Cricetulus griseus: one gene and its partners. The protein of the gene in region 2 interacts with the protein of the main gene of each other region in a pairwise test. Links are inferred from orthologs where the notes say so. Each region holds a gene or a part of one and is shown on either strand. Other genes may lie near its edges.

Region 1 (3,721 bases), on a different chromosome or scaffold from region 2:
TGGGGACATATAAAAAAGCAGTTGGCTTCTTATATGTGTATAAACGCTGTAGGGGCTCAATAATAGAGTGTGCCTACCAAACATAAGGCTGTGCACAATCCCAACCTCTACCTTTCCCCACCTTCAAAAAGAGTGAAGATCCAAACGAATCCAATGGGCTTTTTGGGTTTTTTGTTTGTTTCTTTTCTTTTGAGATGGGACTACCTGTATAAGCCTCTGTAGACCAAGCTGTCCTGGAACTCACAAAGATCTTGCTGCCTCTGCCTCCTGAGAGCTAGGATCAAGGCATGTACCACTCAGCTCCAGTGTTTTTTTTTTTTTTTTTTTTTTGGGTGTTGGTTTTTTCGAGACAGGGTTTCTCTGTGTAGCTTTGGAGCCTATCTGGCACTCGCTCTGGAGACCAGGCTGGCCTCGAACTCACAGAGATCCGCCTGCCTCTGCCTCCCGAGTGCTGGGATTAAAGGCGTGCGCCACCAACGCCCGACTTTTTTTGTTTTGTTTTGTTTTGTTTTGTTTTTCAAGACAGGGTTTCTCTGTGGCTTTGGAGGCTGTCCTGGAACTAGCTCTTGTAGACCAGGCTGGTCTCGAACTCACAGAAATCCGCCTGCCTCTGCCTCCCAAGTGCTGGGATTAAAGGTGTGCGCCACCACTGCCCGGCTCTCAAGTTGTTTTTTTTTGTTGTTGTTGTTGTTTTTATTCTATCTATGGTTGCTTTACCTGCATGCATGTCTGTACACATGTGTGCCCGGTGTCCAGAGAGGCCAGAGGCCTTTGGATCTCCTAAAACTAGAGTTTCAGATGGTTGTGACCCACTGGGCACTGGAGACCAAACCTGGGTCCTCTGCAAGAGCAGGCAGTGCTCTAACCACTGAGCCATCTCTCCAGCCCAAGTCCTATCTTGCTAAGTCAAAATTCATTAAGGGCAGGACAGAGCCCCAAGTCCCAGCTCCATCCATTCCAATCTTTAGTACACCAGAGAAACTTCCCTGTCAAGTCCTAAACCATTCACCCAAATAGTTAAAAGGCTTGAGTTACAATGACTTACACCGTTTAGGGTCACAACCTGCAAATAAAATACCCAAGTCTTTACAGAGCTGCCATGGCCTCATGTCAGACCTTCAGATTCCATGTCTTACCAGTTGTCACACAGCCGGGCAGCCTGGTCATCTGCAAACTCAGCCATCTTAGCTCTTCCTGACAAATGCAAAGGAAGAGGTATCACTTTCTGTTTCATTTCTGCTTTAGGGATGACATGCAAGAGAATGAAAACTTGGGGCATTCCTTCTCATTTTTCTTGAATTTCCAACTTAAAAAATACTTACAAAAAAGCTTACAATACAAAGACCTCCTTTATGCCCTTCAGTCAACTGCAGCAAAAGTTAACATTCTTAAATCCTAATATTAACTTTAAAAATAACTAACTAATCTACAGACTTTATCCAGATGGCAGTGAGGCCACCAACCCCTTTTCTGGTTCAGTTTCAGCCCTGGGACAAATAAAGCACTTAGATGTTGCTCCTCACTCTGACTTCAAAGTGCTCTAGTTTTTCTCTCTCACGGCTAATTCAGCTAGTTAGTACTAGCTATTGGCTAGTTATTTTGTAGAAAAACCTTCAGTCTGGGTTTGTCTGATGTTTTCTTGGGATTAAACTCATGCTATACTTTTGGCAGGGGTACATCGACGTGAGGAACCTAGGCTGGGGCTCAGGTGGTACAGGGCCCTGTGTTCCCTGACCAGCCATAAAACTGGGCATGATGGTACATGCCTGTAATCTTACCACTAGGGAAATGGGGGCAAAAAAAAAAAAACAACAAAAATCAAAAATTCAAAACCTTCTTGGCAACATGGTTAGTTAAGTTCAAAACCAACTTGGGATACATTATACCCTATTAAAAAAATAAAAGCCAGGCAGTGGTGGCTCACGTCTTTAATCCCAGCACTCAGGAGGCAAAGGCTGTTGGGTCTCTGTGAGTTCGAGACCAGCCTGGTCTACAAGTGCTAGTTCCATGGCAGCCCTCAAAGCCACAGAGAAACCTTGTCTCAGAAAACCAAAAAAAAAAAAAAAAAAAAAAAAAAAAAAAAAAAAAAAAGCAACAGAGAGCTCATGTTGGTACATCGTATTAAAAGGAAAAAGGAACAGGATGACTTGTGACGCTACCTACTTAGTTGAGATGGGGCCTACCATGTTTTTTCTCTGTCAAATTTGAAGCCCTCCCACCCGGGCACGCCAGGCAAAGGCGATCCGCTCCAGCCCTTTCTCTTGCAGCGCCAATGTTTACATCACTCCTTCCCTTGACACAAAAATAGATGTAGGTACTGACTGCTAACAAGGGGCCAGGCTGATCTGGACACTGTCAAGTCACCTGCCATTCTCGGTACCCTGGCAACTGAGCCTATTTAACGAATTAAAGAGTCCAATGTAGCAGAGCCTGGAAAACAAGCAATGAAACTAGGTAACCTAAGGTGAGTGTCTAAGTGAAACCTCGCAGACAAAGCGGGCTGCCGGGCGGACGGACCGACGGACCTCTGTCGACAGCGGGGAAGGCTCTGCGAGCGGGAGGCCCGGGGAGGCGGAGGCAGGCCGGGCCACACGCCACGGCGGCGCCTCGGGGAGCGGCCGCTCTGCTCTCCGCGGGCCGGAGCGGTTGGAGCGGGCCGGGCCTCCGCCTCCGCCCCCCGCCGCGAGCCTCGGCCTCGGCCGCCGCCACCCGCCCCGCCTCGCCCCACCCCCCGCCCACGTTCACCTCGGAGCCCAGCGGGAACGCCGCCGCCACAGCCGCCTCGGCCGCCCCGCGCCAACAACGGCCCAGCCACCGGGCCGCTTCCCACCGTCGCCGAGGGGCACGCCCATTGGATGGCCGTGAGGCAATACAGGACACCTACTGGACGGCAGCGCTGCCGCTCTCTCTGGTCCGCCTCCTCATCCCCCATTGGCTCACGGCGCTCAGGGGCGGGGCTTCTCACATCTGGAAGCCGACCTCTCTGCCGGCTCGTGCATTGATTGCCTGACTAATACTGGGCAAACATTCCCGATGTGCCCAATAAGACGGTGAGTGGCGTTTGTGCTTTGTCATGGGCTGTTAATAGCCACTCGCCATCCTTGTCATTAACGCTTCCTCGTGCCAGACCTCTTGGAGGCGCCGGAGACTCCTATGTGACAGCAAAGTCTCCTGCCTTGGTGGAGCATCTCATACCTAATGGATACAAAAGGGAAAATTCTAAGTCTAACCTGGCATATAAACTGCAAAGGGCACACCTAAGCTGTGTGGATGGGGAGATGATGGCTCCACAGTTAGGAGCGCTTGCTGTCCTTATAGAGGACCCGACTTTGGGTCTCAGCACAACAGGTGCTTCACAACCTCCTCAACCTCCTTTTTTTTTTTTTTTTTTTTTTTTTTTGGTTTTTGGTTTTTCGAGACAGGGTTTCTCTATGTAGCTTTGGAGCCTATCCTGGCACTCGCTCTGTAGACCAGGCTGGAACTCACAGAGATCTGCCTGCCTGGGATTAAAGGCATGTGCCACACGGTCTGGAAATAAAATGTTTTTAAAATGTAACAGAAAAGCAGAGCACAGAAGCTCGAACCTTTAATCCCAGCACTCTGGCCTCAACTGCCTATGCACCAAGGATGACCTTAAACTCAATATCCTCCTGCCTCCATCTCCCAAGTACTGGGTTTGCAGGCTTATGCTACCTCACCCATATAATTGCTGTATGTTTTT
Region 2 (3,650 bases):
CGATTTCCAGAGATTAAGCATGTGATACCAACCATTCCTTCAGCACTGAGGGCTGAACTAGCACCTCACACATGCTTGGTAAGTGCTCACCTTTCTTTTCCCTTTTCATTTTAATTAAGTTTCACTACATGGCCACACTGAACTTGCAACTCTCTTGTTTCAGCTTCCCCAACATTTAGGGGTACAGGTCAGTGCTAACAGGAACAGCTACCTAAGAATTCTTATAGACTACATAAAGAAGATATTGAAAGCCTTGACAACTAAGGGAGCATATTATAAGAAATGTGTCTAGTTTTACTTTTAAATGGAAGCGAAAAATGAGATTTTAATCTTGTTTCGTATTGTAAATCTATTCCTATATCCCACTCACAAAACCTCCCAGAAGGAAAATCATTCTGATCATTTGCCAACTTGGTTTTCTAAAAGCCAAGAATGTAGTACAGCAAGCAGGAAGTCAGATTACTTGGCTAGAACACATACCTCTAGACCCATTTCACCTCGGGCTACTCTCCAAGCCAATGACCCAGACACCCTTCCACCAAGTTCTCCAGGTCGGGGGGTTTTGGGAGATATAAATTCAACAAGCTCCACAATTATCCTCTGAAGAAGTTCTTTTCTTCTGTTTTCTGACAATGTTAGCTGCCTCTGTAATTAATGTTTAAAATCAGAGTTTAGGGGAATACAGAAGTTCACCTCTAAGCAAAATAAAACCATTGATATTTTCAGACATCTTGAAAGATGCATCAATTTTACTTCCATACTCTTTAGAAAATTCAAAAGTATGGAACACTTAACTCTCCGTGTTTTATTTTTAACTCTTCATGAACTGGATTACTGCAGCTTTCAAATGGGAGATAGCACCTTCTCTTCTGGTTGTGATGGACTAGCTCAACCCCTAGTACTTCGCTTCCTCGGTAATCACTATGACCATTCCATACCTTATTTCAGAAATTTTCATACAAGAACATGTGGGTACATTTACATATACATTTCTACACAAGTACAAGTGCATCGTTATATTCAAGATAGAGTCTGATAATTAAATAAGACAGTTTTTGTGTCTTCAGACAGGGTCACATTATGTATTTCAGGTTAGCCTGGAATTCACTATCCTCCTGCTCCAGTCTCCCAATGGCTAAGCTTGCTAGGATTACAAGCATTTTCCAACAGGCCCAGCAATGACATACTGTGTGCATGTATGTGTATGTGCTGTACGTGTGTGGTGTGTGTGTACATGTGGTATGTGAATATGTGTGGTATGTGTGTTTCTGTTCAGGTGTAGCGTATGTGTGTGTGCATGTGTGCATACTATGTGTATGCATAGTGGCCAGAGGTTAACATCAGGTATCCTCCTCTATCTTTTTCTATCTCACTTTTGAGACAGGACCTCTAATGAACCTGAATCTCACTATCATAACCAGACTAAGCGGCCAGAAAGCTAAGTTCTGGGGTTACAGGTACAAGCTATCACATTTGTAGTTTACATGGGTTCTGGGAATCTGAACTCAGATCCTCATGTTTATGCAGGAAACACTTTACCCACTTAGCTATCTCACCAGCCCACAACTACATACTTCTCGTTTAAATATTGAAATTCTGTTTCACTGAACTTTGAGAAGGAATGTGACATTTAACATAAACACCCCACAATACTTCAATGAATTGTCCAAATTTACCATGAATAAAAAGACACTGGCTTATTAATGTAGTCTTGCTAGAAAGTTGTTACTGCTTTAGAAATTTCAATGGGGAAGACAGGGGGCAAAGCATACAGCTCAATCAGTAAACTGTTGAGGACCACAAGGCCCTGGGTTCCATGATGCATATATAACCTTGGTATGGCATTGGGTTAACATGTAGAGAATAAGAGACTGTAGAGTTCTCAACACTCCACAGGACATCTATAGCACACCCCTCCATTCAACCCTTGGGAATCATTGAAGAAGGAGACAGAAAGATTATAAGAGCCAATTGTGGATGAATGACTATAAGCAAAGGCACAGCAGGGCAATTGCACATATAAAACTCACAGTAGTTGTGACAGTATGTACAAGATCTGCTGCACAAGCTCAAGTTTGACAAAATCCCAGCATGGAGGCAGGGAGGTGGGCATACCCGCTACTAGCTAAGGAGCTATTGGGACAAGGAAAGGATACCTGATGTTAACCTCTGGCCTTTATGCAAACACACACAGTAGGCACACACACCTACAAGGGTAGGCAGACCAAGCTACAGGCAGGCCAGGTCTCATACACAAGAGTATGTGGGCAGCACAAATTACACAAAAAATTTTAAAAAAGGATATGAAGTTGGGTGGGTGGGTAGGGAGGAAGAGTGGATCTGGGAACAGTTGTGGAATGGTGAATATGATCAAAATATACTGCATGAAATTCTCAAAGAATAAAAGAAAAATTTAAAAATTAGGCACTGGTGTTGCCCATATTAGCCTAGTACTTGAGGACAAGGTTACATGAAACCTTGTCTCAATAAGTAAAGGGTTAAAACTGACTATTCCTGATGATATATAAAATTTCAAATATCCTATTTAAAATGATAGCCACCACATACCTGCTTGTTAAGCTCATTAATGGTTTCTCGGAGTAACTCCTCTTTAACCTTGGTTCTCCTGGATATCACCTCATCATGTTTACAAGAGTATCGCCAGGTGACATCAACTACCTGGAACCAATCATAGAACATACCTATTTAACAAAATCACACTGACCCTTTATTTTTTAGACATAACTACAATGCAAGAAATTTTTCCATGCAACTCAGAAAAATGTTGCCCTTTGTTGGGATTTTAAAGCCAGGGTTGAGGCTATTGCCCAATTAAAAAAAAAGGGGGGGCATGGAGGATTACAACCATAATCCAACACTTAGGAGGCTGAAGCAGGAACATTAGTGCAAGGCCTACCTCAGCTGTCATAGTAAACAATGAAAATGAAAGATATGGAAGAGAATGCGCCTTAGTTTCTTCAAGAAAATATACTGATAAATAAAGGGATAAAGTTTTCAGAATGTTAAGGTTTCAGTTTAAAGCTGATGCTACTGCAGAATTAAACAAAGCAAACTTCTTCACCCTCACGATTGTTTTATTACACAGCTGATTTCTGACAAAAAGGACAACTGAAGGAAAATGTCCAATCTTCCCAGCACACTATGCCAAAACAAATCATTATCTAGAAACTCAAAATAAACTTCAACAGAATTATCCCCAACTAGGTAAGAGTTTTAGATTAGGAGGTAAAACTAAAAATATAAAAACTGAAAAGAAAACAGGAGAAAATTATTGTCATGTGGCAGATAAAAATTCTTAGATGCAACATGAAAAGCAAAATCTGTAAGAGAACATGCTAAACTGGACTTAAGATTTTTTTCTTCAAATCATTTAGAACACACCAGGCAAATTTTTGTAACACATATTTCTAAAAATGAAATCAAAACAAAACAAAAACCAAAAAAACGCAACTTGCATAAGAACATAAAAAGAAACTTCTAAACTCAGAAGAGAACAAAACACACAATGGAAAAATAGGCAAAGAAGACACAGGTTTGGAAAAGGAACACCTTGCACAGGCTCCAACATACTGTGCCATTAGGAAAGTACACTTGGAAAGTACAACTATTCTCTCTTCGTCAGGGCTAAA
Region 3 (3,750 bases), on a different chromosome or scaffold from region 2:
TTTTAATTAACTATTCAACAGTTTCAAAAACTGAGTTTGGCAACACAATGGTTTCACATTTGGATCTGTGTAACTTCCAGCTTTTAAAGAACTTTTGAGGACAGTTCACAATATTGCCAATTTCTCTAAATCAATCTCATAATATAATTTCACTTAGCTGTTTTTAAAACTCAAGAACATAAAACAAGCTCAAAAGTACTGCTTTAAAGTTTATCAGACATAAATTTCATCAAGTTCAGAGAAAAGAGCTAAAAAAAATGAGATAACATTTAATGCAAAATTACATATTGCAGATATGTAGCTGAATACCTTCTAAATAAAGTAAAAATATATTTGTCCTTGAAACAGAATTTAAAATATTAATCTGATTATTACAGGTTCCCCCCCCCACTTTTGCTATTTGGGGCAATAATTTAAAATTTTTCAGCCTGGCATAGTGGTACATGCCTTTAATCCCAGCTCTTGGGAAGCAGAAGCTGGAGGATACCTGTGATTTTTGAGGCCAGCCTGGTCTACACAGTGAGGGGACTGTCGGGGCTGTGTAGAGAGACTGATTCAAAAGACAAGCAAAACAAAAGAAATTTCCTTAATGCTCCCCACTGGCTATTCAGTCGGTATGATTTTTGATCTTTGGTCTCCCACCCACTTTACAATCAAACAAGCCCACTCCCTCACCAAGTAACTATTTGTGTATTATTACCTCAGAAGGAAAAGATGAATAAATAAATGAGGCAAACTTAGCCAGTCATTTTCCAGGGCTGCAACCTGAACCCAGGCAGGGTCTAATGCATGATCATGTTTTTTTAAATGAAAATATAATTCCACCATCTCCCCCTTCTTCCCTCCCATGTTCATACACCCCCTTGTTCTCACTCAGCTGGATCCAAGCCTTAACTTAGGCACTTACTGTGTAAGTTCGGTGGATTACTGAACATCGCTGAGTTTAGTTTTTATGTCTTTAAATGCCTACCAAAATTTAAAGACATAAATTTAATCAGTTGAAAGATTCATGTAAGTAAAGTACAGGCACGTCCATTTCATCACCACAAGGTCTTTTTTTTGTTTTGTTTTGTTTTGTTTTTCGAGACAGGGTTTCTCTGTGTAGCTTTGGAGCCTATCCTGGCACTTGCTCTGGAGACCAGGCTGGCCTTGAACTCACAGAGATGGGACTGCCTCTGCCTCCTGAGTGCTGGGATTAAAGGCGTGTGCCACCAACGCTTGTTGTCAGTGTCCCTGTTTTCACTATCTTCCAGCACAGTCATCTGTCACCCTTCACTACTTAACAGAGCTAGAGTCATTAGAGAGGAGGGCAACTCAATTGAGAAAATGCTTCCATAAGATGGAACATTTCCTTAAGTAGTGACTGTGGGTGGTGTCACCCCTGGCTTAGGGATCCTGGGTTCAATAAGAAAGCAGTCTAGGCAAGCCATCAGGAACAAGCCAGTTAAGCAGCACCCCTCTAAGGCTTGTCTCCAGGTCTCTGCTCTGCTTGAGTTCCTATCCAGACTTCCTTTGATGATGAAGAGTGATATGGAAGCCTATGACAAATAAAATCCTTTCCTCCCCAAGTTGCTCTGGTCATGGAGCTTCATCATAGCAATAGTAACCCAGACTAAGACAACAAGTTAAGTGGCTTCGGGGTCGCCTGTAACTACCAACCAATGCTCAATACCATTATAACTTTGCACTGATTTGGTCTATTAAAGCTAGTTTACAAGCCTGTTTCAAATCTGTGGATACCACACAACAGTATCCACTACTACTTATGGATTTGATGCCTTATTTATCTCCAAATTCTCCAAAGCTTGAGCAGAAAGTTATAACAGCAAGTGGTCAGTATGTCTGGTTAAAGAATGAAGATTAGGTATTAAAAATGTTCTGTCAAGGTTTGACAATTCAGGCTCATTTATTCTTACCTTTAACCCCTAACATACCCTAACATACGTTTAATTACTCAATTTTATCAGTGATCTCATGGGGAGATAGAACAATGCCTAAAATGAGCAAGTAGTGTTAGCATCTGATAAAACAGCATTTATTTAGGGGGCAAGTGTTCAGCTGACTAATGTCAATGTCACAATATACCGAGTTTTATTTCTGTTACATTGTTTCATGGATTACCTCTTATAAGTGGGCTGTAACCACGGACTGAACTGTTTTAAGCTCTCTCCTTAAAAAACCAGAGCTTTTTGATAAGGGGGGGGGACTGTTTTTAATGTGTAAGTCTTCAAATCTGAAAGCTCGTCCAAGAGAACAAATCAACATGCGTTATTTTTAAGTTACTTTTTAAGTGATGGCTGACTTATCACAGGCCATGGTAACTCTCCAGAAGGCAGGCAGCATCAACCGGGAGCCACCTAGATGGCCCCGCAAAATGACATTCCAAACAACTACTTGGTGCACCGTGCGTGGCGAAGGGGATCCAGGTGCTGGCGCCTGCCGCTCGGGCACCCGTTTCCACGCCCCCCACCCCGCAATGTGCCTCCGGGAGAGACCTTGGCTGGTAATCATTCTCCTCAGGCGAGGTACAGCGTGGCTGTGGCCCGCGCCCTCCTGCCCGCGCCGCGCTCCTGCCTCCGTACCTGTAAGTCCCGCGCACTCGGGGGCCGTGGCCTCGAGGACCCCCTCTCCTGCTCCTCAGGGTCCGCGCGGCCGCCCTCCGCCATCTTCCACCCTCTTTCGGCGCCCGCCCCGGACTCGCGACTTCCGGGATGGTTGCTTAGCGACCTGGGAGGGGCGGAGCCTCTCGGTGACCAGCCCCTCCGGGAGGGGGCGGAGCCGTGTCTTCTTACGTCAGTCCTCGCTCCTTTCCCGCACCAGGCTGCAGTCCTTCGCTTTGGGCTTCCGGTCCTGCCAACCTTCCAGTCTTTGTTTGCAGTCACTGCCACTTGCTGGGTTGTCCTAGAGCGCAGCGTTGACTTGCTGATTCGTTTAACTCAACAGCTTCACCTTGCAAGTCTTGGTCCAATCTCTCATTTTCCCTTATCAAGGATTGGATGGTACATCCCTCCGCGTGGAACCGTGTGGAGGAAGAGGAACACAGTGAAGCTTTTGGCAATGAAATGGTGACTCTTAAGCCGCGGGATTGACTGAGTTCTTTCCTGTCTTATCCTAGGCACTTACAACCTCTCAAGGATTTCCCAGGTAGAAAAAAGAAGTCCGGTCCTCTATGAAACTTAAAAGCTAGTGAGGGAAAGACATAAACAGGTAACAGAATAAATTTGTAAATAAGCTTTGCAAACAGTATTATGGAAGGCCTGTATGTGAATGGAGAATAATCCGTTGGTACCCGCTGTGTGCATCGTGCTGCCGTACCAGCTTACAGTGTGTTGCTTTGGCATGTTCTTAAAAAAAAAAAAAGGCAAATTTTACCATCTAGAGAAGTTGAAATGGAGAGGTCTATAACAGACCTCTTAGAATTAAACCCACATCCTAGCCAATTTTGCATGATGGCCGCTGGTATGAAAATATATCCACATAGGCCTTCAGGTTCGTATGAAGACACTAGTCACATGAAAAAATTTTTTCAATAAAATTTGTGCCTTTTTCTCCTGTGAATCTATTCGGTTTCATTCTCAGGCCCAGCTGAGACTCTGAGAGTAAAGGAAGACGTCTCCTCCTCCATTTTAATGTATTCCACATGTATTTGAGCAAAGCAAATGATAGTTAAATTCACCTTGTAACTAGCAGTACAAACTACCATACCTTGTAGTGCTGTCCTGATATTCTAAATACACATTCTGCCTTAAA

What was found.
Region 1: the proteins of Ngly1 (region 2) and Trafd1 interact in binary tests that used the Homo sapiens proteins (3 or more experiments, as listed by UniProt). The two-hybrid records come from large-scale screens. The link is inferred for Cricetulus griseus from reciprocal best matches to the Homo sapiens genes NGLY1 and TRAFD1.
Region 3: the proteins of Ngly1 (region 2) and Ubxn2b interact in binary tests that used the Homo sapiens proteins (3 or more experiments, as listed by UniProt). The two-hybrid records come from large-scale screens. The link is inferred for Cricetulus griseus from reciprocal best matches to the Homo sapiens genes NGLY1 and UBXN2B.

Annotation. Positions count from the first base shown.
Region 1 is NC_048597.1:101,255,804-101,259,524, forward strand, and holds the start of Trafd1 (TRAF-type zinc finger domain-containing protein 1), read right to left. Parts: upstream 2,883-3,721; 5' UTR 2,746-2,882; intron 2,551-2,745; exon of another isoform or gene 2,526-2,550; intron 1,195-2,525; 5' UTR 1,184-1,194; coding exon 1,137-1,183; intron 1-1,136. UniProt on the Homo sapiens protein: Negative feedback regulator that controls excessive innate immune responses. Regulates both Toll-like receptor 4 (TLR4) and DDX58/RIG1-like helicases (RLH) pathways.
Region 2 is NW_023276807.1:173,767,257-173,770,906, reverse strand, and holds part of Ngly1 (peptide-N(4)-(N-acetyl-beta-glucosaminyl)asparagine amidase), read right to left. Parts: intron 2,680-3,650; coding exon 2,569-2,679; intron 646-2,568; coding exon 481-645; intron 1-480. UniProt on the Homo sapiens protein: Specifically deglycosylates the denatured form of N-linked glycoproteins in the cytoplasm and assists their proteasome-mediated degradation. Cleaves the beta-aspartyl-glucosamine (GlcNAc) of the glycan and the amide side chain of Asn, converting Asn to Asp.
Region 3 is NC_048595.1:154,304,666-154,308,415, forward strand, and holds the start of Ubxn2b (UBX domain-containing protein 2B), read right to left. Parts: upstream 2,729-3,750; 5' UTR 2,667-2,728; coding exon 2,583-2,666; intron 1-2,582. UniProt on the Homo sapiens protein: Adapter protein required for Golgi and endoplasmic reticulum biogenesis. Involved in Golgi and endoplasmic reticulum maintenance during interphase and in their reassembly at the end of mitosis.